Linked DNA regions of Notamacropus eugenii. The protein of the gene in region 1 interacts with the protein of each later gene in a biochemical or structural test. Links are inferred from orthologs where the notes say so. Each region holds a gene or a part of one and is shown in the gene's direction. Other genes may lie near its edges.

What was found.
Region 2: the proteins of GOPC (region 1) and SSTR5 form a complex in vitro, tested with the Homo sapiens proteins (2 studies listed by BioGRID and IntAct, with this or other methods). The link is inferred for Notamacropus eugenii from reciprocal best matches to the Homo sapiens genes GOPC and SSTR5.
Region 3: the proteins of GOPC (region 1) and CRHR1 form a complex in vitro, tested with the Homo sapiens proteins (2 studies listed by BioGRID and IntAct, with this or other methods). The link is inferred for Notamacropus eugenii from reciprocal best matches to the Homo sapiens genes GOPC and CRHR1.
Region 4: the proteins of GOPC (region 1) and RPS6KA1 interact in a test that uses a peptide from one of them, tested with the Homo sapiens proteins (2 studies listed by BioGRID and IntAct, with this or other methods). The link is inferred for Notamacropus eugenii from reciprocal best matches to the Homo sapiens genes GOPC and RPS6KA1.

Annotation. Positions count from the first base shown.
Region 1 is NC_092873.1:199,300,985-199,308,891, reverse strand, and holds the start of GOPC (Golgi-associated PDZ and coiled-coil motif-containing protein), read left to right. Parts: upstream 1-4,888; 5' UTR 4,889-5,146; coding exon 5,147-5,434; intron 5,435-7,907.
Region 2 is NC_092872.1:51,440,307-51,447,338, reverse strand, and holds the start of SSTR5 (somatostatin receptor type 5), read left to right. Parts: upstream 1-4,020; 5' UTR 4,021-4,610; intron 4,611-7,032.
Region 3 is NC_092873.1:347,228,474-347,235,322, reverse strand, and holds the start of CRHR1 (corticotropin-releasing factor receptor 1), read left to right. Parts: upstream 1-3,828; 5' UTR 3,829-4,356; coding exon 4,357-4,389; intron 4,390-6,849.
Region 4 is NC_092876.1:67,581,788-67,589,592, forward strand, and holds the start of RPS6KA1 (ribosomal protein S6 kinase alpha-1), read left to right. Parts: upstream 1-4,789; 5' UTR 4,790-4,889; coding exon 4,890-4,952; intron 4,953-7,805. UniProt on the Homo sapiens protein: Serine/threonine-protein kinase that acts downstream of ERK (MAPK1/ERK2 and MAPK3/ERK1) signaling and mediates mitogenic and stress-induced activation of the transcription factors CREB1, ETV1/ER81 and NR4A1/NUR77, regulates translation through RPS6 and EIF4B phosphorylation, and mediates cellular proliferation, survival, and differentiation by modulating mTOR signaling and repressing pro-apoptotic function of BAD and DAPK1.

The DNA of each region.
Region 1 (7,907 bases):
TGTGTATCAGTTTTTGGACAATAGGCATTCTGCATCCATTTGGTTTATCTAATGCAGATAGTTAGGGTGAACTCTTAAGTGTTTATGGATATCTGAGACCCAGATCAGCCACTTGATTCTCCCAGGGTCTTTAGGCCAAGGGCTCCAAAAGAGGATGCTGCTGCCGCAGTGGCTGCTGCCACCCTGGGGCCAGGGCCAGATGCCACTCTCCTCTTATCCAGGTGAAAGAGTTTTCTTACTGACCTTTGAAGCTGTCTTTGGCATTTGTGGGTTCAGAAATTTGGGAACCACAGCTGCTGTCCATGATTCCATACCCTGAAGCCTGTTCCAGTCCTGTCCATGCTGCACTCTGAGGCTGGGGTGCACACTGTTCCACTTTGAGCCTGGTGCAATATGCCTTTCCTGTTGGCCTTCCAGGCTGTCTTGGGCTGGAAATCTCTTTCACTCTGTCATTTTGTGGCTTCTGCTGCTCTAGAATTTGTTTAGAGCCATTTTTTACAGGTATTTTATGGGCTACAGGGAAAGAGCTAAAGCAGGTCGGTCCTTCTACTCCACCATCTTGGTTCCATCCCCCTATGTTTGGTTTTGAAGGGACAAAGACAAAAACAAAACCATCTCTACCCTCAAAGAGTTTACATTCTCCTGCTGGGAAAATATGCACACAGATAAGTCAATATAAAATATATACAAAGTAAAAGTAGAAGAATTTTGTTGAGGGGAACTAACTGGGGAGATCAGGAAAAAAGGAGCATAGTATGAAAAAGAAACATCCAAGCCTCTGTTTTTTCTGCCATTATTAAGGATGAATATCTGGCCACTCCTTAACCTCCTTTCCTACATCTTTATCCAGATCATGCCCATAGGACTCTGACCTGAGCCTTCTTCTCTTCTCTCTCTATACTCCTTCACTTGATGATCTCTATGTTCATGATTCTCAAATCTACTTATCCAGGCCAAATGTCTCTTGTTAACTTCCAATCTCCCATCTCTAACTGCCTCTCAGACACCTTGAACTGGACATCCCATAAAAGTCTCAAACTCAACATGTCTAAAACTGAACTTATTATCTTCCTCCCTATACCCTCCCCTTTCCTAACTTCCTTATTACTATTGATGGCACTACTACCCTCCTAGCCCCCAGGTTTGCCACCTAGGCTTCATCCTCCACTCCTCACTCTCTCACCCCTATATCCAATCTATTGTCAAGGTTTGTCAATTTTTACCTTCATAACATCTCTTGTGCATACCGCTTTCTCTCCTATGACACTACTACCTCTATAGTACAGGTCCTTTCTACCTCATACCTCAGGCAGAAACTTGCTGGTTGGTTTCCCTGTCACAAGTCTCTCCTCACTCCAGTCCATCCTCCACTTTGCTCTCAGATCTTCCTAAGGTTTGACCAGTCTGAAGATGTCAACCCCTCCTGCCTCCATTTAATACAATCTAGTGGCTCCCCATCACATTCAAGATCAAATGTTAAATCCTCTGATATTCAAAGCCATTTATAACTTGCTCTCCTCCCACCTTTCCAATCCTTTTACACTTTATTACATACTCTTCTGTTCAGTGATACTGACCTCCTTGCTGTTCCTCCAAGATACTCCATCTTTCCATTTGCAAATTCTTCCTACACACCTTTTCTTCCTGTCTTCCTTGGCTTTCTTCAAATCCCAGCTAAAATCTCACCTTCTATACGAAGTCTTTCCTGACTCCCCCTTAATTCTAGTACCTTCTTTCTAATAACTGTAGCTTCCATAATCACTTAACCTAGGCCAACTCTAATTGTAGGGGGTTGTCTGGAGTCTGATTTCCTCAGAGTACTGGTCAGCCTGTTGGTGGATGGGGGTAGCAGTCTAGAGGAAGGCTGCCATGTTTAGTGTCTTGTCATTCAGGGCCACCTTCTCCTCCAACCCTGTAGAGCCAAGTGCCAGGCAGTATTCTTTCACAGCAAAATGGCCTCTGTAGTCAGACTCTTGCCATGTAATTCCCTCCCTCTTTTCTCCTGTTTTAATTTTGTTTTGTTTGCCACTGATGAATGTAGTCTTAGCTATAGCCCTTGCTAACACTTAGATTCTCCTTTATCATTGTGTAACAACTTTCCAATTTCAAAATAAGCTTTGACTTGAACTCAACTAAACAAAAATGTTTAGGGGAGAAGTATGAAGGAGAAAATGGCCATACAGTATAATATATTCATCATGTACCTTTACCTCTTTCCTCTTCCCTACTCAATCTCCCTGCAACTTTCTTTCCATGATTTGCTGCTGGTTTTAAAGGTACTGAACAAGTTGGCAAGATAACATAAATCAATCCAAGTCATCACTTGTACTTTGATATTTTAAAAAATCTGTAATTTTGAGTGTGTAGGTTCTCTATCAAGGCAGATCAAAACTCCTACCCTTTTGTGATCTTTATTAGAAGCTTTGGCAGAATTTATTTTTTATTCTGCTGCTGACAGTGACAAACTCCTCAGAACTTAATAAAGCTTGTTTTCAGAGAACAGATACATGCTGTTTCTGGACCCATAAGCAAAACTATCTTTGCAGAGCCTTCTAGAGCTTGCACCTTGCAAGCATGGCCATTGAGAACACAAGACAATCTGTACCTCATGAGGCTTAAGAATAAGACTTAAGTAGCACTCACTTCTCTACAGTTTCATTTTTATGGGTGCTGGTCAAATTATTATAATCCCTGTCCCAAAGCCCATTCGTACAAGATTCTCTCCTTATTGGTGGAGATGAAGGCCCTACCCTCCATGATGGACAAAGTGGAATTGGTGGGAGGCAGAGAGCTCCACATTTCAGTAATCCCTCTTCAGAACTCTTTAGAATCCATCCTCTCTGGGACTGGCCAAGCTTCAAGTCTTTGAGCATTAATTCCTCTCAGGTACTCCTAGCTTCCAGGAATAAATTCTGGAAACACATGAGTAGAGCTTGCATTTCCCTATCTCCAGCTAGCTATACTAGAGGTTTGGGGGAATTATCTCTTCAGTGAGATAAAACACATTCTTGGTTGGGTTATTTCACTCCCAAAGACAAAGCCCCTTCATTCTCAATTGTGTGCTGTATATTATTTGTATACCTTCTGCTTTGCTGTGCTTTGAATAAATGAGTTCCTTTGCTATTTTCTGTGTTTTCACTGGGAAACTGGTATTTGGTGAAGAAGGGGTCAGGCCCTGAATATAGATCTTAGAGTCCTTCTTCCCCCCAAAACGACAAAGTGATCAGATACTTCTAACCTGGTACTCCCTGTCTTTGAAGATAGTAGATTAGCGTCTTCTGGCCCGAACATTTTGCTTCCCTTCCTGGAAGGAATTAAAGTAGGAGAAGAGGCTAGAGATGTTTGTTCTGAATACTTTGAGCCATACAACAGTCCTCTCCATAGGTTGGCCTTACATATCTGCGACATTACAATATCCTTTTCTTCAATTTCTCTTCTATGCTTTTACTCCCCCTCCCTCTACTACCTACATACTAATATTGACTAATATTTGTAAAAATTAAGGTAACATCCATATATGACATTCATTTCTCCATAAGTTAGGGACTGGACCTGTGATTTCATTGGTAAGAACAGTTTCTGGGTGAGGAAACTACTACTGGTGCAGGTCAGCATGTTCTGTCTAATTTATAATCTTAGTTGCCTCAGAATACTGAGGAAATTGAGTCACATGCAGAGTCATGCAGCCAGCATGAGTCACTAGAGGGACCGAACTCAGCTCTTCTTGGCTTGGAGGCCAACTCTCTACCCACTGTATACCACATTACCACTCCTGCGATTTTATAATCAAACTGCCTGGGCCTCAAAAAAACAAGTCAGGGTTGGGGAAATGATTCGTTCACAAGTAGTGTCTAAATTACTTTGTTTCTGAAACTAAAGGAAAGGATAAACTCTCCCAAGTTTTGTTTTATTGTAGTGTACAGAGGGATAACTTTAACACGTTTTCCTTTAAGGATGGGCTCATCTGTCCCCCTCCTGAAAACCAAACCAAAGCTGCGCTGCACATTCTAAAAAGTGCTGCCAGAGTGGGAGGCAGATGCGGGCCAGCGGCAAACGCCCTCTTCGGAATCGGAGGAATGAAGTCCAAATACCAGCTCCGCGACTTCCCGTCGAAGCATATCTGGCACCACGGGGGCTGTCAGTTTCCACATCCGAGAAGAAGCGGGGAAGGGGGTGGGCAGGGTCTCTCAAGTCCCCTTCACTTCCGTGGTTCTTGGGCTCGCCCATAGCCGGCCCCGAAGGGTCTCGGCTCCGCTTGGGGATCACCGGCAGCGCAGCCTTCGCGGGCTGTCTGTCCTGGGCCGATGCTCCCTCTCCTGCAGCCCTCGAGCCCGCGCGGCGCATTCCCGGGGCTTCCAGGTACTAAGAGCCCACTCTGCGCCGCCCGAAGGGAAGCATGGGGATGGGCTGGAAAAGATGCAAAGGATGCTCGGCAGATGTCCAACAGGCTAACAAACTGAAGCTCCCTGGGGAGAACACCTGGCCGGGAGAAGAGGCGTGACGACGTCAGGATAGGACAAAAAAAAAAAAAAAAAAACCAAAACACGTGTCTACCGCGCACGCGCAGAAGGTACTTCATCGCTCTAGCCTCGGCGCCCCCTTCTGCCCTACCACTTTGGGATCTGACAGAGGAAGAGATGGACGGAAGCTACTCTCCTACGCGACGTGGACACTGTCGCTCTTCCTCCATGCCTTCCCACGTAGACAGTGACGCGCTCAACACCTCCAACTCTTGCGTTGAGTTCTCATCCCGCAACTTGCCAGTACCCAAGATGGCCACGGAGAGGCTGGGCCCTGTCAGAAGCCTATCACAGGCTAGGGGCTGACCTTTGCCCCTCCCCACTCCTCCCTCTCCGGCGCCAGTGGCGGATTGCTTCTGCGCGTGCGCAAAGGGGACGGGGGAGGGGGGTGGGGGGGTGCGACTCCGACCCGCGGTCTAGCCAGTTCCTCCTCCGTAGCTGCTTCAACCTCTGCTTCATCCCTTTGCCACCCTTAGAGCTGGGTTCCCATCGTTACCTGCGCGAGGGGCCAGGGACGCAGGACCGGCAGCGGCGCGCTCGCGGAGCGCTCGGTCCCGGCTGTTCCCCTCCCGCGGGCAGGTGGCCGGGTCGGCGGGAGAGGCGAGGGGCAGGCCCTCAACAGCGCCATGTCGGCGGGCGGCCCGTGCTCGGCGGGGCCCGGAGGGGTCTCCGGGGGTGCCTCCTGCGCCTCAGGGGTGCCCCCCGGGGGGGTGTCGATGTTCCGATGGTTGGAGGTGCTGGAGAAGGAGTTTGACAAGGCCTTCGTGGACGTGGACCTCCTCCTGGGCGAGATCGACCCGGACCAGGCGGACATCACTTACGAGGGACGCCAGAAGATGACCAGCCTGAGCTCCTGCTTCGCGCAGCTCTGCCACAAGGCGCAGACCGTGTCCCAGATTAATCACAAGCTGGAGGTGAGCCCGGAGGAGGGGTGGCGGGGGCTCGCTCCCGGCGGGGAGGCCGAGGCAGACGCCTGGGGGCGGCCGCCAAAGCCACTACGGGTACGACTCCCTTTCCCCCGTAAGAAGAGGCGATTCCCCCAGCTCCTTTCCTGAACGCTGGGACTTGGCGTGAGGGCGATGCCTTAGTCCTGCTCCCCCTGCTCCTTACCCCCCATCCCAGCACTGGAGGTTCTTCCATCAGATTAGCAGCTTTGCTTCTTGATAGACTCTTGATTCTTTTTCAGGTGGGTAGCTTTTTTCTTCAGTACCTGAGCTGTTCGGTGGAATTTGATCAGATCTGTGGAGACAAATGAGTTTGGAGAGGGGATCGCTTTCCTTAATTATAGATAGCAGAGTGGTTCTGTTTATAGACAGGTTTTAAGTTACCTCAGTTGCTTGGAACGGCCCTTCAGCAGTGGGTTTTATTTGTGAAGCTTTTCCGAGCCCCTTACTGCTTTCCTTCCGAGATTATTTCTAAGTCATCCTATAAATAGTTTGTCCCCAGAAATCTTAATGCAATTAAAAGCTTTAGTAGCTTTTTCAAGTCTTAGTGCAGTTTTAAGTTACCAAACCTTTAGTATCTTAAAAATGTACTAAAATTTTGGGGATACTCTATATATCTCTTTTGTATATAGTTATTGGAATGTTGTCTCCTCTATCAGATTTTGTAAGCTCCTTGAGAACAGGGACTTTTAAAAAGCCATTCCTTGTATTTCCAACGTTTAACAGAGTGCCTTGCACATAGGTGCTTCTTAAATGGCATATCAGTTTATTTACTTGACATGCCCTAATTCTTAAAAGCTGGGTTCCGGGTAAGTAAAGAATGCTCAGACTTTGATCTTCTTGTGACTTTCTAGGGGCAGAAATATTTACACAACACCACAGGTACAAAATAATTCAAATTACAACATTTTCACAGTACTACAGAGTTAATAAATAAAAGGGTTTCATGAAAGAAAGTTTCCACCTTAGGTTTTATAAGGAAAGAATTAGACCTGTCCTTTTAAAGTAGGAAAGAGGGAGGGGGGAATATTGAAATTAGGACAGAGGGATTAGGTGGGAAAAAACTATGGTAATAGCTTTCAGTTCCACAGTAATAATGTTACAGGTAAAAGTAATTAGGATGTATTTTTTATTAAGAAATTATTACTATTGATCCAGACTTTTGGGTTCTTACTTGTCACATAATTTGGGTGACTTCTCATGAAAGGGTAAAGGTTCTGTGTTTTATTAATTGGTAAATCCTGAAAGAAAAATTGTGTACTTAATCTTTGGTTAGCCAACTATTGCATTCTAAAATTTTCATCTTGAAACTTTTTCCTGAATTTTCATTGACAGCTTATCCCTTCCCAAAAAATCTGGTAGGAAACTGATGGTGAAAATACCTTTTGATTTCTTGGGTTTTAATGTTTTCTTGGGTTCTTTTGTGCAATTCAACAAATACTTGTAAATTTTTCTCTTTTTTGGCATTTGCATTTGGATGTGTTTCTGACACTTTTGTGGGTGGTGTTTATTATGATCCTGTATTATGACAGAAAGGAAATCTAACTTGAACTGAGACTTAATTAGATCTCTGAATAAACATATTTTTGTATTAGAACAGATTTTATTTTCTCTTAAAAACTTGGATAACCAAACACTTAAACAGTGATAACTTAAATGTCAAATTAAGATACTAATTTTGTAGAAGGGGAATCATTGTGTGAGTGGGAGGTGGTTTTCAGTTACCTTCATCTTTATCCATTCCAAATGAATGTTAAAAGTAGTCATAAATTATTCAAAGTTGCTCTCTTTTCTCAAATTACATATTCTAACTTCAAATTCTTTCGTAGGAGGCTGTATTTTTTAATGTAAAAATAAAATAACATTTCTTTCTTGAATTTTTTTTCACGTTTGTTCTACTACTACAAATGTTGGCAGTCCTTGTTTTAGATGAACTCCATAGTAAATGGAAGAAAAATAGGCTGTCATTTTTAGGTGGGATATATTCGGGAAAAGTTGCCCAACACTTCTGAAATATTAGCAAATCTTACAAGTTTAGCAAATAATGCAGTTTTCATTAATAGGAACTCTTAGTTGTGCGTACAGAGAAGAAAAAAGCATCACTATCAGCAAGTACTTTTCAGAGTTTACCACAAGGTAGCCATTGTATTTCCAGTCTTCTGAATACTTAGAAAATATCATCATCCTATTTTGATACATACTTTCTGTTCCTCATATGACATGGTTTTTGAGTACATCACCATTCTGGATTTTTTTTTTCCTCTGGATACTCTCCAGCTTGTTAATATCTTTTTAAAAATGACGTACCCAGGAATGAACACAATATTCCAGGTATTATCTGACCACTGCTGATTATGGTGGGATTTATGTTTATGTTTGATTACTTCCCTTGTTCAGGACACTCTCTGTCTATTAATGCATCTTAAGATTTCCTTAGTTTTAT
Region 2 (7,032 bases), on another chromosome or scaffold:
GGAAACAGAATTTCGGATATTGCTTCCAACATTTCCCCCCTGAACCCCTTCTTTTTATACTTCCACATAATTCTGCAATATAACTCCAGGGATTGGAGCCCATTTTATAAATATACCTAGAGAGCTGTACAAATATAAGAGGTAGTTATTCTTCTTCTATCTCCTCCCTCCCATTCCTCCTTCACCAAGTACTTATCTCTGTGTATAAGAGATGCTCAGTTTTGGGCACTGACCAACTGGCTTTGCCTAGTGGTTATCAATACAACTTGAGATGTCGTCATCTTGGTCAGAAGGAAGGGATCACAGAAAGGAGAAATGTGAAGATTTTTTTGAAAAGCATTATTGCTCATTACTGACCCTGAATTTCAGAACTTGCAGTTAGAAGAGTCAAACAGTGGTGATTTTGAAAATTTTAGAATATTATACTCTGATTGCAAAGCAACAAAAGTGGACTGTTCAGCTCCCTGCAGTGAGACTCATTAAGCAAGAAGGCATCCTAAGTGTTCACTGAATAGCTGAGTAGGAAAGGACATCTGAAGCACTCTAGCCCATACTGATGAGGCAGCTAGAGTTCCTTGGTCTGGAATCAGGAAGACTCATCCTCATGAATTCAAATCCAGCCTCAGACACTTACCAGCTATGTGACCCTGGGCAAGTCACTTAACACTGTTTGCCTCAGTTTCGTGCCTTTGTAAAATGAGCTGGCAAAGGAAATGGCATACTGCTTCAGTATCTTTGCCAAGAAAACCCCAGACAGGTCACAAAGAGTTAGACATGACTGAAACAACCAAACAAGAACAACAGAAGTCCAGCTGGTAGCTGAACGATAGTCTTTTTACAGTATCCCTGACAAGTGGTCATCCTGGTTGGGAGCTCCCCATAGGAGCAGTCCATTTGTAATAGCATTAATTATTCAATTTTCTTCCTAGATTTCAAACCTAAACCTACCTCTTTGTAAACTGTGAATGTGGCTTTTAGTTCTGCCTCCCAGGGCCAAGGAGAACAAATCTCATTCTTCTCCTTGATTGTCGTTGTTTAATTGTTTCCAAAGAGTCATAACTCCTTACCGCCTTTTTGGTTTTTTTGTTTTTTTTGGCAAACATACTGGAGTGGTTTGTCATTTCTTTTTTCTCCTACTTTACAGTTCTTTAAATATCTGAACACAGCAATCATGTTTCCTGTAGGTATTCTTTTCACCACGTTACCATTTCTTTAGGTATTAGAAGTTTAAGTAGTAAGTGCACAAATTAATTTTGATAGACAAAAAATATATTCCACCTGTCTATCCATCTCTGTCTGTTTCTTTAGTCAGTTCTATTGAGTCCCGCATGGCTCCACTAGCGCCTTTTCAGGCCCTGGAACTACCTTATATTTGTTTTGAATCTGTTTCTATATACTTAAATGTGTATGTTTGAGAGGCAGGAAGATAACTGAAGAGAGAAAAATGACCTTGGAGGCAAAGGACTTGCCTCTACCACTGTCCACTTTCACTTGTGTGAAAGCCAAGTCACTTTAATTCTCTGGATGAAGGTTTCAGTTTTCCCATCTGTTTGTAATGGAGCAAGTAATGGCCAACAAGAACCCAGTCCTGGGATCATAATGTACCACACAGATGTTTGGTAAACCTATTTCTTTTCTTTTTAAATTAAAAATTATTTATTTTAATATTTTATTTGAAAATTATTTTTTATATTTATAGATATTTGCATTTAAAAATTTTTTTTGTTTCCAAATTCTTTCCTCCCTCCCACACCATCCCATACCTACTGAGAAAGCAAGAAGCATGGTATCCGTCATACATGTGAAATCATGTAAAACATAGGTGAGCCCATTCCTTAAAGTTTGTGGTGATGTGGAATAGAAGAGCCCAAGAACACATTGCAGGTGTTCTGTGACTACTTCTGGTCTGTTTACTTCATGATAGAGTTGAAGGGTTAGAGTTGGAGGAGCACATTTACTCTAACCCTAACCCTAAAAGGCCTTTTGGTTGGTTGCTGAGCCAGAACTAATTACGAATGCATATAAAAGACCCATTGGAGAAATTTTCTGTCTTTCCTTTCTTCCGGCCACAAGATATAAGGACAATTCTGAGCTCTGGAGGACCAATGGGGACCAGGATTCCTTTCTCTCCAATAGGCTGTCCCAAGAGTTCATGACCTCCCAGGAAAGCCTGTGTCTGGTATGGGACCATCTCCTTTGTGTGTCTTCTTTCCTTTGCTACAAAGCCTTGTGAGACTTTAAAATGGTGGAGGAATGGACATTCTTGTTGAAAATCTGTGCCAAAGTTTGCCTACGGCTGAACCTGGGGCACTTGTGTAGCCCTGGGGAATGTGCCTGCATGACCCAGCCAGCAGAACCTCAACCCAGTAGCCCAGACATTGTGACCTACAGAAAGGGAGTGACTCCTCTGGTGGCCAGCCCATAAGTGAACTTGCTGAGGTGACTGCTTTGAAGCAAACTCTTTAAGTCTGAGCCCACTCAACCGCGGGACTGAGGTAATGTAAACTGGAGAGTGAACTCCCAATTTGGGGGATGCTTTAGGACTTATGTTCTTGCTTTATCTTCACAGTAAATATCACTTTGTAAAAGCCGATTGAAGCTAATTGGTTAAACTAATAGTCGGGCTAACCAATGATATCGATAATATTCAGGAGATATTAACTGCCACTGGTCATTTATATTTTGGGGGGACACACTAGAATAGCATTAAAATATCTTCCCATCCCCTCAGGGATGAACGTTAAGAGGAGAAGATATAGCCTTATTATGGGGACCTGACCTGCCAGTGCAAGTGTAAACTGGGATAAGGACCCTGAGAGTTTATGTAGGCTACAAGTAAAATGAAGAAATTGAATTAAATGCCCTTTAAATCTATGAGGAATGAATGAGATGATGCCTTACCCATAGGCTTTTCTTCTGGCTATGTTAAATACAGGATTGAGTTTTCCCCGAGTGCATTGGAGAAGAGAAGGATTTAAGGGAGAAATAAAACTGACCAACAGAACTGTCTGTGTATTTGTCTGTGTATTTGTCCTTCATCCCTAGGATTTCCGTCTTTTCATCTCTTCCTCTGAGTTGCCCTGTTTTTCTTCAAGACTCAGCTCAAATCCCCCTTTCTGCGGACTTTTTCTAGTCCATCCAGCTACCAACACCCTCTCCTCTGAGATACCTTCTATCTGTTTTGTATTTCTCTTGTATGTACCTAGTTATTTACACGTTTGCTCTCTCACTAGACTATAAGTTCCCTGAAGGCAGGAACTATTTGTATCTTGTATCCATAGGCTTAACTTTGTGTTTGACATATAGTAAGAAATCATTTAATTAAGACTTAAGAAATACTTGTGAACTAACTGCATGCATACATCTGCAAATATGAGTATATCAGCATGAATGTGTTGGTGTGAGGTGTGTTTGTGAAAGTGAATTGAATCTGTATCTAAGAGAATGTGTCTGTGTGCACCTATAAGTGTGTGTTCAAAATGGTGTTCATCTGTGAGTGTGTGAGATCATATGTGTGTGTATAAGGGTCAGTTGCAGGTTGTAGGCAGCCTCTTCTTTCTAGCCACCACTTTCACTACCGAGACACCACTAGGGAGAGCATCTGTATGCCTGAGAGTCTGGGAGTGGGTGCTTATGAGAATGTGTAAACGTTTGTCCAAGCAGGGTGAGTGTTTGAATTGAAGAACTCACTCCAGGGTACACAGCTATGTCTGGAAATCTGCGCCTCTGTTAGTGTTATGGTGGTGGCATGTGTGAAAGTGTACCCACACCACACCGTTAGCCTCACATTACATCCCTGTTTAGGATTGCCTTGTACCCTTAGCCTTCCATCCAGAGCCAGAACAAGACTCAGCTAACTCTACAAGCTCCCTTAGGCAGCTCTGAAGGTACCAGCAATCCCCTGTAGGCAACCCGGCCTGCGTGTGAATGTGGGTTAGTGTGTGCGTGTGTGCGCGCGCGCGCGCGTGCTTGTAGGCATACATACATAGGCATACATACCTGCTCGGGTGTGGAAAGGAGCAAGCAGGTGGAGGCGCAACAGGAGGTTGCCCTGGTTTGAGTATAGCACGCTGACCAGTGGGGATGAGCAGTGGTGGGGAGAGTAGGTTTCGGAGCCGCTCCCAGCGCCCACCTTCTGCCACCAGAGCCACAGTCCATCGGTCCATTCTAATTCCTCCCACCCCCTTCCCAAAGCCAGCGCTGCCGCTGCGGCGCACACGCCTCTAAGAGCTACGCTTCCTGAAAAGGAGCTGCCTTAGCTCCCTCCCCCATTCTCCCCCCACCTCTGTTTTTTTTTTTTTTTGTTCTCCCCCTGTACCCTCCTTCTCTCCCTACACATCTCCGCTATAAACCGAGAGGACCGAGACTGTCCAGAGCAGAACTCAGCTAGCCCAAGCCTGCAGCTGAGAGGGGGAGCGCCAGCCTCGACACCTAGCCATCTGCCTGCGGACCCAGGAATCCTGCAGCCTGCAGAGCTCTGGAGCACCCAGTGGAGCCGAGGGGGCCCTTAAAGCACCATTTCCTCGGGGACAGAGCCTGGCCCGCAAGTTCAGGCCAGTGCATCGGATCCTGGCTGACTGATCCACTCGTCATCATTCTCTCTTCCTAAGGTGACCAGTTTGCCTCTCAGTCCCTTTGCATACCTCATCCACGTTCCTCCGGGGTCCCTTTGGTCTCTTTACGTATCCTTCTGCCTCGGTTTCTCCTGTTACCATTGTGTCTCTTTCCTCCAGCCCTCTTGTCTCCCCGGATCCCCTTTCCTCCTTTCCTATTCACTTTCTTCCTCCTATTTTCTCTTCCCCCTTTCTATTTCCATTCCCTTTTCAGCGTTTTATTAGCCTGGCTCCCAGCCAAGCCCTCCTGTCTCTGTGTTTTCCTGGGGTAGGGGTTATTGGGGGTGGGGGAGAAAGCCCAGGGTTTGAAGCCTAATTTCCAGAGGTGTGACAGCCTGCCTCAGCCATCTCCATCCCTCAGTATCTGGAGAGCCCATCTAAGGCAAATAGGGAGTTCACCTGAACTTTTTTGGAAGTAGGAAAAATATTGGTTGTGTACCACTCTGGAAGCCCAAGCTAAGGGTGTTGGGAGAATGTACTCTTCCTTCTCCAGCTCCACTTCCCAAAACCTACCTCCTCTCCCCCTCCCCTCCCGTTTCCCCAATACCCCCTTCCTCCTGAGCCTCTCTAAACGTGTGGAGCAGGTAGTTTTAAAGGACGCCAAGCCAAACCAAGGGGCGGGGGCGAATTTGGGGGCCAGTATTCCAGTGATTGGGGAGGGAGTTTTCTAGGAGAGGGGACCCGCCTGAGGGCAGGACCAGAACTAAGGCGAAAGAGAATTTGTGTAGAGGTGCAAAGTTAAAGGAGGGGAGAAAGAGAGAGAGAGTAGGAGAAAGAGGGAGAGAGAGGAAAGGAGAGATGGGGGCGGGAGGGAGAGAGGCAGGCCCTGAGGGCTGCGGCCTCTAGCTTGAGATCTTGCTGCTAAAACCTCCTTTCCTGAATTTGCTTCATCTCCATCTCCCCGAGACCTGCTCCTGCTCCTGCTCCTCCCGAAGGAGGAGACAAATTCTGAGGCAGAGGAGGGAGACTGGGAGAGGTCATAAGCAATTTGCGTAGGGGTCTATAATTCTATGGGGACACATAGAAATGGTGCAGCAGATGGGTGGGAGGGTCTGAGGACCAGAGTTCGAATGCTAATGCTGCTACTTACCGGCTGGATGATTTTGGACAAGTTTTTTTTTTTTTTTTCCTGAGTTTCCTCAGTTTCTTCATCTGTAAAATGGAGAGTGGAAGAGGTTGGACTATATCTCAGAGGTCCCTTCTAGCTCTAAATCCTGTGAAAAGAGGATTATGTATGTTATGGATTAATGGCATAGCACAAAATTTCATTTTATATTACACCTATTTGAATGTGTTTATTGCATGCTTCTGTTGACTCCATGAAAGCACAGGCCATTCTCCTTCACCTTTCTGCCTATCCCTACCTACCCACACCCACACAGTAGGCACTTAAGGGTTTAGCAAGCTGAACTGAAGATGAGTTTCATTTCTAACTCATTGAATATTAACTAGAGAACCAGTATAGGTTTAAAGGTGAGATTTTGATAGCACAGAATAGAATAGCCATGATACAGAACACATTTCAGAGATCCTTTTCTTTCTATAGAAAATACCACCAAGGAGGGTTAGAGGGCAGGAAAGGAATTACCCCAGACCCCCAGATGAGCACTATGCTAGAAATCAGGTCTCCTGACTGTTACTCCAGTTCTTTTTCTACTACAATATACTATAATCCTTTTCCTTCTATCTCCTCTCTCTTTTTCATTTTCCCTCTCCCTCTTTTAGCTCTCTCTTCTCCCCTCCTCTCTTTCTTCTGCCCTCCTCTCTTTCTTTGCCTGACCCTCCTCTCCCTTTTCTCTCCCCTCTTTTCTCTCTTTTGAGTCCTTTTCTCCTTTTTTCACTCCTTTTCTTTTTTCCCTCTTCTCCCACCCTCCCACCCTCCTTCTCTCCAGCATCCTCTTTCTTCTTGCTTCCTTCCCATCTCTTTTCATCCTCACAGCATCCCTTTTTTATCTCTTCTTTTATGTACCCCCACTTTCCTTCCTCTTCTTTCCATGCTCTTTCTTCATTCCTCCTCCTCTCTCCCATCCTTCTCTATCCATTTCCTCCCATCCTGATCCATCCCCTGACTTTTCTAATTCTGACCTCTCCTTATTCCTTCCCTCTGCTTTTCTCACTTGGAACTTCCTCTACATCTTGCCAATGGTCTCTACCGGTTGATTTATCGATTTAACATCTTGTTTGGGGGTTTAAAGGCATACACTTTTTTTTTTTTTGCATTATTGTGGCCTTTCCAATTTATTGTTTATTTTTGTAAACTCTCTTAAGACAAGGGCAAAGATGGTGCCTGTGCACCACACAGGGTTTGATAGTGCTACAATTAGGGAACATTTACTGCTTGCCCATTCACTAAATAGTTTTCAACTGCGGGAACCTGCCTATGACAGAAGCATCGTTCTGGGCTAGTCGCCTTCCAGTG
Region 3 (6,849 bases), about 150 Mb from region 1:
TTTGTCCATGTAATAAACTGGGTATCCAAAGGTCTCAGGTAAGCACTATAGAATTAGCGATCTCATCAATGCTTTTCTCTCCATCTCTGTTGACTGAAACCAGTCAGGAGCAGTGGGGAGGCATTCAGTACCCTTCCATTATCGTTCCTCAGGGATATTTGAAGAAATCACTGGAGAATTTAGAGCTGAAAGAATTCAGAATGGGTTTCCTAAAAATATAGGTGTTTCTCAGAGGTATCACATGACACAAGCACTAATTAAATCCTTTATAGGCCATAAAACAATAAATATCATAGTAAATAGAATCATGGTGAATAGGAATTCACATGGTAGAAAAGGGATATTTTAATGGATAATTCTTAATCTTGAGTCACAGGATGAAGGAACCAAGGGTAACCTTGCAGCAAAACTTCTAAAGTTACCAAAAGGTATCACCATTCCCCACTGAGTTTCCCAGGGAAGGATAGATTCTGGCTAGATGGCTAGCCCCCACCGAGAGGACAGCAATATCTTGTGAATCTCAGCATCAGCTCATACCCCATGACAGGTTACATGCAAGAGGTCTATGATCTCTTAGCTATCATGATACAAATGACCAGGACCTGTGATAGGGCTTGGCAATGGTATAGGAGACATCATCTGCTGCAAATCTGATGCAAATTTGTGTTGCTTTTGGCCAGCAGAGTTGTTTTTACAACAGGAGACCTACTTTGAATTGTCCCTAATGTTTCCTCTACTTTATGAATTGTAGCTTTGAGAAGATTGTATTGATTCGTGTTTTTATTATTTGTGTTAAGCTTTTCCTCCAGTGCTAATTATGTTGTTGTTTTAACATTGTTTTAGTGAAGTAATATCTCCTAGAAAAACTTGGGGACCTCAACATGAAGGAGTGAGAATTCGTAGAATCAGGGCTTCTTTTTTGTAGTCTGGTCTGGTTTTCCTTCAAGGAGGTTAGGAAGCTATTCTCAGTGTCATCATTAGCTTAGCTTCCTTGCCACCCAAAGCACAAAATAGCCCAGGGATAGGGAACCTGCAGCCTTGAGACCACATGTGGCCCTCTTGGTCCTCAAACTTGGCCCTTTGATTGAATTCAAACAATACCACCTACATTCCAAGGTTTTTATGAAGATCAAATGAGCAATATTTAGAAATGTTATTTAAAATACTTGTAAATATTATTAAAATTGTAATCTCGTAAAAATTTGTAAAAATTTAGCACGAAGTCTGATACATAGTAGGCTCTGTATAAATGCTTATTCCTGTCCCTTTTCTTCCATTACCTTATCTTCCTTTTCCTTCCCTTTCCTTCATCAGTTCTTCCCAAAGATCTGACCATGTCATTCCTCTACTGAACAAATTCCCAAGGTTCCTTGTGACTGCTAGAATCATATTTAAACTGTTTAGCTTTTAAAGTCCTTCACAGTCTGGCCCAAGTCTAACTTTCCAGACTCGTTGAACTAAACTGCTTTCCACGTTTTCTGCAATCTAACCAAAATGGCTTTTTCAGCGTTTTTCAACCACAGAACTTTATGTCCCTTCTTTTGCCTTTTCATCAACTATCTCCCATTGCTGGGATGCTTTCCCTCCTCACCTCTACCTCATACAGTCCTTCTCTTTCTTCAAGATGAAGTCTTCCTAATCCACCACCACCACTACTATGTGCTCCCTCCCAAACATCTTTGTATTTAACTCTTTGGTATTCATTTTGTCTATATGTACATGTATACTTTTATGTAAATAAGTTTCTTGTCTCCTTTTGTTGCTCAGTCCTTTTCAGTTGTGTCCAACTCTTCATGATCCCACTTGGGGTTTTCTTGGCAAAAATAATGTAGCAGCTTGCCATTTTTTTCTCCAGTTCTTTTTACAGATGAGGAAACTGAGGCAAACAGAATGAAGTGATTTGGCCAGAGTCACACAGCTAGTAAGTGTCTGAGGCCAGATTTGAACTCAGGAAGATGAATCTTCCTGGCTCCAGGCTTGGCTCTTTTGAGCACCATGGCACCTTGCTGCTCTCTTGTCTCCTCAGCTAACATGTAAGCTCCTTGACTATTTCATTCTTTTAATTTATACCCCCAGCATCAACACAGGGCCTGCCCATAATAAATGCCTTTGGTTGACTGGTTGATTTTGAAGGTGATTTGAGATTATCTTTTTATTAAAAATTGATTTAAAAAAGATTTATTGATGCCTTTTGCCTATTTTTTTCAGATATAGACCATCCTCAACCCATGTGAACCCTCCCTTGTAACAAGAAACAGTTAAGCCAAATTGACACAAGGACTAAATCCTACAGTGCATTTAATGTTCCCCTGAATTGAGTCTTGAATGAAGTGGTGGAGGAAAACTCAGGATAGCCAAGGTATAAGTTTGATTAGGATTGTAATATCCCTTACCTTTTGAACATGCTCGTTCTGGATGACTCTTTCTTTTCCTCCTCTCCACTGCTTCTCCACTGTCCCCCCATCTCCTTTCCCATTCAAACTTATCCTTCAAGGCTCAGCCAAAATGACATCTCCTCCAAGAAGCCTTCTCTGATTCCCTCCCTTCTTGCTCCAGCCGGAAGTGATCTCTCCTTACCACTGTATCTCTTTCATGGAGCATCCTATTTTGCCTTGTAAAATGGCTGTCCATGCTCATGCCACCTCCCCTATAAGATGGTAAGCTTCTCAAGAGTAGGGACCCCATTTTATTTATCTTTGTACTTTTCCTCAGCACTTGCACTATGGTTGATACAACGAAATTTTGCTGAATAAAATTGAAGATGGATCCAGGAACCAAATCTCTAGCCCCAGGAAGTGAGCTCAAAGTTCTGTCTTGTATACCAAAGCTGTATCTAGAGATCTGGGGGCTGGGGTGACAGACGGTCATCCTGGTGCTGGGCAGCAAGGATGGGTAACAAGGGCTAAGGAGCCTGGATTCCAATGTTGCCGTTATCTTTCTCTCCCCACTGGCCAAGGGAAAACGGCACAACCTCCTGCTGGGGTCTGGGTGGAGGGTGTGTGTGGGGTGTTATCCTGTAAATGAGGGAACTGTCTCTGAAACATAGAACGGCTATGGAGGAGTGAAGAGTAGATGCTAGAAAGAGCAGGGAGTGCCCATACCCTACCACTCAGGCCTAGAGTTGTAGACCCCCTTAGGGAATGGCAAAGAAAGGAGAGATGAAAGGGCTGAAGCGGAGGAGGGGTTGTGGGGGGATGGGTCGGGAAACACCCAGATGCAATCCTGAGCTTCCAAAACTACTGCTAGCCTTCCCTCACTCTCCAGCAGGGTGCCCAGGAAGCGGTGGTGGAGGGGCACCTTCCACAGACCACCTCACCCCTCCCGCCTTCGTCCTTCCAATCAGACTCACTCTGTGTCCCAGAAGTATGTCTCTCCTGATCTCCCCCCTCCCCACGTCCCGTAAGTCTCTTTCTTCAGCAGCCTTTCCAAGAAGCGAGTGGAAGAGGGGTTCTTAGTCTTCTCTCCCCTCCCCTCCCCACCCTCTCGCCCCAGTCCCAATCTCTAGGCTCTTCTCGGACTGCTGTCCCTGAAGCTGGCGGCGCAGGAGCCGCGCTCAACTCACTGCTGCAAACTGAGAGGGGGGCAGGGAAAAGGGGTCAGCGATTAGCCAGGCAGGGTGGAGGGGTGAGGGGGAAGCGCTAGAAGGGAAGGGACAGGCAGGGAGCGCGAGTGGAGAAAGAGGGAAGGAGGAGGAAAGGGGCAGAGGGAGGAGGAGGGAGGGAAGGGGGAAGGAGAGAGGAGGAAAAGGGAGAGGAGAGGAGGAGGTGGGGAGGAGAGAGAAAAAGGCAAGAAAGGACAGGGAGGAGGAGGAGGAAAAGGAGGAGGAGGAGAGAGGTGGCGGGGGCGATGCGGGGTTCCTGACTGCCAGGCGCAGGCTAGACGAGTGCCCTCCCTTAAGAACTGGGCGGGAAGTGGCCGTGGGGACCCGGCTTAGGAAGAAGAGAGGTGGCGCTGCCGGAGGGAACCGGGAGCGGAGCTGGGGGCGGATGGGAGAAGGAGCCGGTTGTTGGCAGCAGATGTGACCGAGCTGCGGGCTGCCCGCCGGGGACGGAGCCCGAGAGCCGGGCGGGCAGTGCCTCCTTCTAAAGGAGCACCTGGCGCTCCGCTCTCTCTCCTCCCCTGCGATCCCCTGCCAGCGCCGCGATCCCCTGCCTCTCCTTACCCTGCTCTCCCCCCAATCCCTCTGGGCTCCCACTCTCAGAGGCTGGGGCTGCCTCCCTCCCCTACCCGCCACGCTACCTCGGGCTTTCCCCCGCAGCTCTCTAGCAAGCAAGCGCCCTAGCCCGAGCTTGGCCGTGCCCTTCTGGGGAATGTGCCAGTAAGCCAGGTATCCAGGGCCCCCAGAGAACCCCCAGGATGGGACGCCGCCCTCACCTCTTGGTCATCCAGGTAAGAATATGGGCGGGCAAAGAGACCCTTCCACTTGCACCAATCCCTCCCATCCCCCCCAACACCCCAGTGGTAGCGGGGGAGACCGGGAGCTGTGTGCGCAGAGGAGCGGGGGCGCAGGATTGACCCTCTCCAGCCCGGGGCCAGGGGCCCGGGCTGGTTTGGGAACGACCCAGGACTACCAAAGACGGCTTTAATGTCCCTGGGGGAAGTCAAACTCTTCAGAACGGACGGTTTTCCGGGGAAATGGGTGGGGAGGACTCAGGTTGGGGCTGGGAGAACGCTTCCCGGAATCCGCAGTGCCAAAGATTCCCTTCCTCAAGCTTCAGAGTGCCGGGGTGATTACCAAATCAGGGGTTGAGTCCCCATTTCCCCCTCCTCTACCTGCCCTCGCCCCCGCTGACCATTCTGTCTGGGTTGGGCTTCGATAGTTCAACGCTTTGGAGGTAAGGTTCTCGCCTGTTTTTTTCCTTAAACACCTTCCTTAGATTCTACCTCCTCCTTCCCCCCTTTTAGGCCGCCCAATGGCTCCTTTTCCCTTTGCAGAAATCTGCATGTCTATGGAGATAAATCTCTCCCGCTCCTCCGAGCGCTTGGATTCATAGAACAATGTTCCCCCGCCTAATTGAGGTGTCTGATGTTCGGTCCTCTTCTCCTGCTAGCCTCCTGACTGGCCGTGCTTGAGCCGGGTCCGAGAGTGGGAGCTTTTTTTTTTTTCCGCTGGAACTAGGAGCCAGAAACCGCTCGGTCTTGAGTCTAACGTCTAGCGAGGATATACCAGCTCCTAGAGTTTAGGAAAGTCACCAATAAATCCACCAATTTTTGTCTAAAGTAGTTCAGTGGCAGACAGATCACTCCCTCATCCCAAACCAGGTACCAATCTTCAATCAGGGAGGAAAGCATATTTTTAGGGTCCAGGATGGAGTCTCACACCCTGTAAACGAGTGAATTCTGGCATCTATTTTTTGTGAGGCTTATTCTCCAATGCACACACAGATAAATTACTTTAACTGATTTCTAGATTGTTTTTTGGGAGGGAGGAGTGCTTTTTATTTATGTGTATGTGTGAATCTTGAAAGTGCTGAATTTTTAAAAAATGATTGAGTGATCCCACAATGCTAAATCACCCATTTGATTTTTTTTTTTACTTTTCAAATAGTTGTTGAACCTTTGTCTTGTCTTTTGTTTCTCTGTATACACAGAGGTGTGTGAATCAAATCATCTCCTTTGAAAACTAGCAGTTTAATTCAAGTTGTCTATAACAGAATGTTTAAAAAATAATAATGAGTTTGACTGAAATAAGCCTCACTCCCCACCCCACTCCGAAAGCCCTTGTAATACAGCTTTCTTTTAACCAAGACAGTGAGAAAAGTGTTGGATTTGGATCAGAAAGAAAAACCTGGGCTCCAGTCTGGTTGTCCTATCTTTGTGGTCTCTGGCAATCAATTAAAAAAAGAATCCTACAGATATTTATTTAGCATCTACTATGGGCTAGACACTGCACTTGATATACAAGGACAGTAGTCATACAGTTCCTGGCCTCCTGGGGCTTATGGTATTGAGGGGGCAGAGAGAGGGAGAGACAACATGCATATATACATATATGTACATATGTGTACTTGGTATTATTTTATACCAGATATATAGATGGAGGAGACACTAGAAGCTGGGGGGGGGGGGGAGGGAAACTTCAGTGTGACACTTGAGTTGGGGTTTGAAAAGGAGTCAGAAAGTAAGAGGGAGTAAACCCCAGGCATGGAGGAGATAGTCCCCTCCAAAGGCACTAGAGATGGAAGGTAGAAAACTGCGAGTAAGGAACAAGAGGAGGGGCAATCTGGCTGGAGAGTGAAATTCCTGGAGGATAGTAATATGTAATGAGTCCAGATTGGGACCAGGCTGCAAAAGAGCTTTAAGTGCCAGAGTTTATATCTGACCCTGGAAGTGTAAACAGTCAGAAGAGATGGGCTGAAGTTTGAGTGTAGAAGTGACTTGGAGACTTATGCAAAGGGGAAAATCATTGTGGCACCAGAGACGTGATAGATGGATTGGAGAGGTGAGAAATGTAAGAGAGGTTACTGAAATAGTACAGGGAGGGGTGATGAAAGACTATTGTGGAAGTTGTATGAACAGAGAGAAGGGAACAGATCACTCTCTCTCCCCGGACCTCAGTTTCTTCATCTCAAAAATGAGGATGTTGGACCAGATGACCAAAAAGGGCCTTTCAGCACTAAATCTTATAATCAAGAAAGTGTGGGAGTGGGGGGGGAGTGAGGGATAGGAGAGGGAGCATGGTAAAAAGAAAAAATCTCAATAGATCAATGAAGAATGAATGAGGGAGGGAGGAGTAACTAAGTAAGGAAGTGAGAGGATTTCATTTCTATTTTCAGCTTTTGTTTGAAACTATTCTAATATAAACTTTAAACACACACGCTTCCCCTACCATTACTCCATCTCCTAAGA
Region 4 (7,805 bases), on another chromosome or scaffold:
CTGCCTGCCTCCAGTCTCTCCTCACTCCAATCCATCCTGCATTCAACCACTAAAGTGATTTTCTTAAAGCTCAGTTCTGACCATGTCACACCTCCTCAACCCCCTACTCAATAAATGCCAATGATTTCCTATCACCTCTAGGATCAAATATAAATCTTCTATTCAGAGGTGTCTAGAATCCTTTCATAACCTTCTCCCACCCCTTCCCTTCCAGTCTTCTCTAACACCTTATTTCCTGTCACGTATTTTTCAATCCAGTGACACTGGTGTCTACCATTCTATGAACAAGACACCCCATCTCTTGGCTCTGAGCATTTTTGCGGGCTGGCTCCTGCATCTGGACTGCTTTCCCTTCTCAACTCTGCCTGTTGGCTCCTCTGGCTTCCTTTAAATCTCAACTAAAATCTCATTTTTTACAGGAAGTTCCTTTTTTCTATCAATTATTTCTTATCTATCCTGGGACCTTCTCCAGTGGGACTGATCTATATCTAGCCATTAGACACAGAAGGCTCTGGAGGAAAAAGTGAGGCTGGTGACTCTGCACAGCCCTGCTCCACTTAAATCCAATTCACTTGCAGGTCATGGTATCACCTTCCTGATGTCATGGCCCTCTGACAACAAAGGGCAAATGACAACAAAAGCAATCTTATCTACCCTGTGTATAGCTTGTTTGTACTTTTTTTTTTTCTTTTCTGTCTTCCTCATTAGATTGTGGCAGACTGTCTTTTGCCTTTCTTTGTATCCCCAGCACTTAGTAGATACTTAAATGCTAATTAACTGACTTGCCCAGGATCACACAGGCAATATATATCAGAGACAGAATTTGAACTCAGATCCTCAGGACTCTAAGGCCAGCTCTCTATCCACTATACCATGCTGCCTCTCTATATAAAACATATATGAGATAATTGAAGGGAGGTGTGAGGGGTGAAGGGAGTAGAATGTTAGTGCTTGGTGCATAGTAGAGTTGGTATTTTGAACCGGCTTTGCTTCCAAGTCTAACACTCTAAACGCTACACCACAGGATTCTATTAACCTTTGGGCCAGATGGAGGAAGGAAAAGATGGCAGCTTCTTTGCCCCTTTTGTGGGGTGGAAGTCTGCTCATGCTCCCTTTCCTCTCCATGTGCTCATTTGCACTTTATATCCCAAAGACTGGCATTTGTCAGTTTCATCCATCAGCCTCTCCAGTTGCTTCTTCCATCAATGACCTGATCTTCCTTTCCTCTTGTTGGCTTCCATTCCTCCTCAAACTTAAGACTCACAGGGGATGAGCAGGTTGCTTAAAGTCCTACAGGTAGTAAGTAGCAAAGTCATAATTAGAACTTGTGTTCTCTGATTCCAAATCCAGTAGTACTTCTCCTGGCTTGAGGAGAATGTATGTATACAGGTTTGGAGGTAAGTCTTTCCCTCTCCCTTTCAATTCATTCATAGGGGATTCCCAGGAGCTGGTTCCAGATATAAGAGGGAATACATGGACCCTGAGGAGGAGAGCTGGAGATACCAGGGTTGCATGGAGACCTGCTGAAAATCCTGCACATCTAGGTGTCCCCTACAGACAGCCATGGGCCTTGAGGAGCCAGTATGTGACTGAGACCCTGAGACCCTGATGGAGTCACATGGGGAGAGTGAGTCCTGTAGGGTATTGCATCCCTCAGACCCTGAAGGGATGAACCCTGGATGAAAGCAGTGTGGCGGAGAACCAGGGTAGAAAGAGTAGCATAGGCAAGAAAATGTGCACTTGGGGAACAATCCAGATCTATTCCAATCATCTGAACTATATAAATTTGGGGGTAGGTGGGAAGAAAGATTCCCTAGCATCCTCAAATTCTTTCCCCCGAGAGAGATGTTTGCTTATTTATGAGGGCAGGTATTAGCTCTTTCTGTATTTTTGATGTAAAAATAAAATCTTTTCAGTATTTGATGTTGTTAGCCTAAGTGCTTTCAGAGGAGCTAAGGGCCTTTGGGGGAAATCAAAATGAGCCAGAGACTGACATTTTCAGGATTTCTTTGAAGGGGATATAAGCCAGAGAAATTACATTTGGAAAACCCCTAGAAATAGTACCCATATCCTTTTATCAGGGAAACTGCCTTGACCCTAAGATTACATATGTCTTATCCTAACTAGGGGATAAATGGCTGCTTCAAGATCATTTTAGGAGAAAGCCAGGATGATCCCACAAAGAGGCTCCATCCTTCCCTTTTTCCTTACCCTCAGCAACATGGCCTCTTCCCTTAAAGTCAAGCCAAGTAGACTCTAATCAGGGACTTCCCAAAGTAACTTGGTGTGCCATGAGCAGAAGCAATCATGGTCCCAGATGCTTGTCGGAGACCAACCAGCACAGAGATATTGCAAGGGGAGCTAGCTGAAAGAACTAAAAGTCCCTATTCTCCCCTCATCTCATCAACAAGAAGGAGGGGGAGGAGATGAAGGAGAAGGAAGAGGAGGATGAAAAGGAGAATTCTAGAATGTCATACCTGACAGGGATTTTAGAACACAGATTGTCAAAGCTAGAAGGAACTTTAGAACACAGACTTTCAGAGCTGGAAGAGATCCTAGAACATAGACTGTCAGAGCTAGAAACAACTTTGGAACACAGAATGTCAAAGCTGGAAGGGACCTTAGAATACAGAATAATAATTTGGAAGCAACCATAGAAGATAATAAAAGCTGATATGTATATAGTGTTTGGCAGACATTATCAGACCTGATCCTCAGATGAGGAAACGACTTACCCACGGTTGCCCAGTATCTGAGACAAGATTTGGATGCAGGGCTTCCAAAGTCCAGAACTCTATCCATTATGCCCTAATGATTCTAGAATTAGAGGGGCTCTTAGAATTGAACGTCAACCCTGAGGAATGGACTTCAGAATATGGTATATCCAAGTTTACAGGGAACTCTGAACCTAGACAATGGAACATAAAATCTTCATGAAGGGAGAGACCTTAGAACATAACATATCAGAACTAAAGGGACCCTTGGAACATAGAATGTTAGAATATAGAAGGCCAAAGCTAGAAGGGACTTTAGAACCTAGAACCAGAGCTGGAAGAGATTTTAGAAGAGAAATATGTCAGACTCAGAGGACACTTAGAATACAGATCGTTAGAACACAGAATGTCAGAATCGAAAGTGCTGTCATTTTGTTGCCAGGCTAAGACCAGAATCCTCACTGTCCCCTCCTCAAATGAATCTTCTAAGTCACAAAGAGAAATCACAGTTTCCTGTAGCTTAAAAAAAAAATACATCTGAGGCCATCACTGTGAGAAGACAACACATTGTTTCTGGGAGGGGAGGAGGCTCCTGGGAAGATGACTAAGAGCTAACTTTTCTCTCTGGCTTTTGGAACTGAGTGTGATAGGATATAATGAGCAGTGAGGATACTGGACAGGGAATCCAGGGATCTGGATTCTAGTCCCACCCCTTTTCTTGCCTTGTTGTATGACCTTGATCAAATTGTTTCAACTCTCTTCAGTTTCATCTGTAAGATGTTGGGTTAGCTCATTTCAAAGGTCTCTTCCTGCCCTTGTCAGGGTCCAGATTTTAAGATCCCTTTAATTCAGCTAGACATTTGTAAATGGTATTCTATGTGCAATATACAGGGTCAGAGGATGGCTTAGCATTACCACTCTCCTTTCTGACCTTCTATGTGTGTGCTAGGGTTCTAATTCCTGCTCTCACATTCCAGAAGGGAGTAGGTTTAGAGTCAAAGGGGGCTCGACCCTCTTCATTTTACGAATGAGGAAATGAAAACCAAAGAGGTCAAATGACTTGTCCAAAGTAGAGTTGTAATTGGACTTCAGGTCTTTGACTCCAAAACCAGTACCTGACAGGGACTTTAAAGGGACTCTGTCCACTTTAACTTTCAATTAAGGTACCTTCCAGGTCAAGTATTCTTTGTGCTCATTAATGACCCTGTCTTTGGTACTCTTTTATGTTCTAAAGTTCTTTCCTGCTGGAAAGTTCCATGTTCTAATAATGTCCCCTATAGCTTGGACATTCTTTGTTCTAAGATCCCATCCAATTCTAACAGGCTATGTTTTAATGGTGGGATGTTTTAAGACTTGGAATAAGTACCCACTCTCTCTCATCCTCCACCTCACCCAGTCTTGAGGAAAGATGCAGGTCTTGCCAATTTTTTACCAGGGGAGTAGGGGAAGGATTGTCCCCCAGGAGAGATTATATACCAGGACTAGTAGGGAGGGTGGGGGCAGGGGTGAACCCTGAATCCCTACTGCTCCTCTACCACAGAGGCCACAGACTTCTCTGAACAGGACAACTTGTGGACCCCTCTCCGAGGAAAGGAGTCACTTCAGGGACAGGATGGGTGAAAGGAGGGATGACACCCAAGATCCCAGTCTCAGACTCTTATCTGGGTTCCCCAACCTCACTCTTGGCCTGAGAGCTTTTTGATGGGGGGCCCTTGGACAAAAGCGTCCACATCTGGAACAGAAGCTCCCCAGATATGCTGAAGGGGGGAGGGGAGAGAATGGCCCCAGAGGCGGGGCAGTGCAAGGGTTAATGGGGCTGTGGTGGTGAAGGAGGAGAGCGATCTGGGGACCCCCAAAGGAGCAGGGGCCAGGGCCGAGAGGGACCGGGAACGTGCATGGGAGTGGGAGGGGAAGATCACTCCGGGAATGCGGCGCCCGGGTGGGGATGGGGGGAAGCGGCGGAGGGGGAGGGGCGAGGGCGTGGCCCAAGCTCCCCGCGGCCGCAGGTAGCCAATGGAGCGGCGGGTCCGGCGGCGGCGGCGGCGCCCCGCCCCCTGGGGCAGCGCGGACGGAGGGAGTAAGAAGTGCAGGAGCGGTGCGTGGGGTACTGGGCTCGGGGCGCGGGGCGCGGGAGCCGGAACCGGAGCCGCGCCAGCCCGGAGGGCCGCCGGCACGATGCCGCTCGCCCAGCTCGGGGAGCCCTGGCCGCTCACCGAGCTGCTTCCACTGGATCCCGAGGTGAGCGGGGCTGGGTGTCCCGGACTCTTGTGTCCCGGGGCTGCGGCGGGCGGGACCTCCCGGGATCCGGCCTGGGCTGGGCAGGCTACAATGGGAGCCCCCAGCCAGGGGCAGACAAAGACGGCGCTGCAGCTGGGGCAGGGGGAGGAACAGCTGGATCTCCCCCTGACCCCTCCCCCCGACCCCCCACTCAAGCAGCATCGCTCTTCCCTCCGCACCTCACGAGCCACCCGGAGCTGCCCTCTCCCGGAGAAACCCAGAGCTAAGGGGAGAAATCTGCCCTTAAGACACGCCCCTCCATCCCGTGCGGCTCCCCCGGCCAGAGAGTCCAGGGGAGAGTCCGTCTGGGCGGCTCCCTGGGGCCAGGTGAGGGAAGAGAGGAGAAGGGGTGCCCAGAGCTGGAGTTTGAGCCTTCTATGTGTGTTGGGGAGGGGAGGGCTGTGAGAGAGCTGATCGAGTCCTGGGAGACCTGCCCCACCCCTCATACTCACACACTTTGGGGGAGGGGGGCGTCGCTCCAGCAGGAGCTCTCCTGAACTCCCCCAGTACCACCAGGTAGGAGTAGGAATGCCCGGATGCCAGAGTGCTGGCATGAGCTATGGAACCGTCGATCCAGTAGTTTTACTCTTCTGGCTTTAGCCTGTTCCCAAACAGGTCTCTATTCTACTCGTTCCCGGCTGCAGCTGGCCGCCCAAGGGCTTGTTCTCCCCATCCTGGGGAGGCGCCTGATCTCTGCCATATCAGGCTACTCCTCTTGGCAAGGCTGCTCCAATTAAGTCCCCCCTGAACCAGGGGATGTCCTTATGGGTCCCAGGAACATTGCCAGTGCCTGTTTCCGGCCAGTGGTTCCTATGATCCTCCCTGCAGGGGCCAGATTTAGAGACCTGTCACCTCAGGGAGGAGGGCACCTTGTTTCTAAGTTTTACCTCCAACTTACTCTATCTTCCAGAGTAGGGGAGATGAAGTCCTTGGGCCCCTTTAAGGTGACTTTTGAGAGCTCAATTTGGACACGATCTGTGCTTCTCTAGGGCTGGGGTAAGTGAGGGCTGAGGAGAAGAACACCCAGGGCTAGTAAAACATAAGATCTTAGGTCCAGAACTAGGAATATAGCCTTTCTACTACCACCACCACCCTTACCTGAGGGCACAGTATTGGCTTCTACCCCTCCCTCCTGTTTCTGGAAAAAAGGCAGGCTTTCCTGGGGTATCTCTCCTTCCCCTCTTCCCAACTTAAGAGGCAGCTTTTGTCCCAGTCCTTCTGCTAGAGGTTAGCCCAACTTGGAGAGGACTTGGGCACCAAAGCCTTAGTCCCCAGGTACTGTTGCCTAGCTGGGCTCAGGCTAAGAACTGGATCACCACCAAGCTTGATGCTCTGGGGAAGCTGGGTGAACAGGCCCTGGGCCCTAATTCCCAAAAGAGCGGAGCAGGAAGAGATATCCTCCTGGCTGCTGCCCTGGCACGTAGGGCCCAGGGGCCCAGATCACCTGCCTATCCCTGCATGTACTTCAGTGGGCACCTTAGCAGGTATGATCCCTAGTTCTTCGAGTTCAGGTCTAGGCCTGAGGGAAGTGCTGAGTGCCCCCCCCCAGGTCATCCAGAGGGGTCCCTTGGCCCCCAGTGTGGCTGGCTGCTGCTGGGCCTTTAAAGGGGGTGGCAAGAGATTTGGGGGTGGGCCTTGTAGGGGGATTAGGTAACAGCCCTGAAGGAGCAATTTGAAGTAAATTGTCCTGGGATTCTTGCCATGAAGTTTTACAGGCCCAGTATCACCGTCCCGCTGACTCACCGGCTCCTGAGGAGAGGTGAGGAGCTGGGGCTGGCCTTGTTTCTGCTCCTTTCTCTCACCATGCTGGGGGGAGGGGAACAGGTCCCAGGGAGCAGAGGTGCCAGGGTGGGGCACGCCAGGCCAAGGGAGATGGATAAGGTTCCTGCCTCGGATTGATCTTTGTACTTCTCCTAAGGGACCCAGGAGTCCTGACATATATAAAGGGAAGCCCTTTACATTCACTTTCAGGGACAGGGGAAGGACAAGGACTGGCTAAGAGGGGGAGATGGCACAGTGTCTAGCCTTGAGGTTGTGCTGGCAGGGAAGGGCTCCTGGTCTCAGCACAGGGCTCAAGCTTTCCACCCCCATCCCCCACTCTAACTTCTTTAAGGAATCTTGCTCAGAGATCAAGCTCTTGCCAGAAACTCCACGTTAAGGTCCCAACTTGGGGATGGCTTGCTTTGAAAGGGGAGTAACATGGGCAAAATGGTGGCAGAGTTAGCCATCCCTTTGGGTGCAGGGACTCTCTCCCTGCATCCCCATACATTGAGTGGTGGTAGGGAAAAGGCGGAGTGGAGAATTCATGTAGAATTGGTGGGGGGAGCTAGGAGATAGCCCTACAGTGAGTTAGGAGACTTGGGTCCTAATGCCAACTCTGCCAATAACTAGATTATCTCGCTATTGAGGGGTGATGAATATAACAAAGGACCTTCATTCAAATCCTGCTTCCTCATCTATAAAATGAGGGCATTGGACTAGGTGACTTCCAGGGCCTCTTGCTGATCTCAGTCTGTGATTCCACTACCAAGTCATTTTTCTGGGCTTTGCTTTCCCCCTGTATAGAATCAAGGGCTTGAGCCCTGCCAGTTTTATTATCAACAGTTTTATAACTTGGGTTCTCTTTCTCACTTTCTCTTTAATGCACAAGGTAATCTTCAGCCAGTCACTCTGCTTCTGTTTCTGTTTCTTTTGAGAGGGTTGGGGTCTTATCAGCCAAGGCCAGGACCCCTCTTCTCACCTTCTCTCAGGAGCATTAGGGATGGCCATCCCAGTCAGATATGGGGCCGGCCTTGGGACAAAGGCACCCATCCT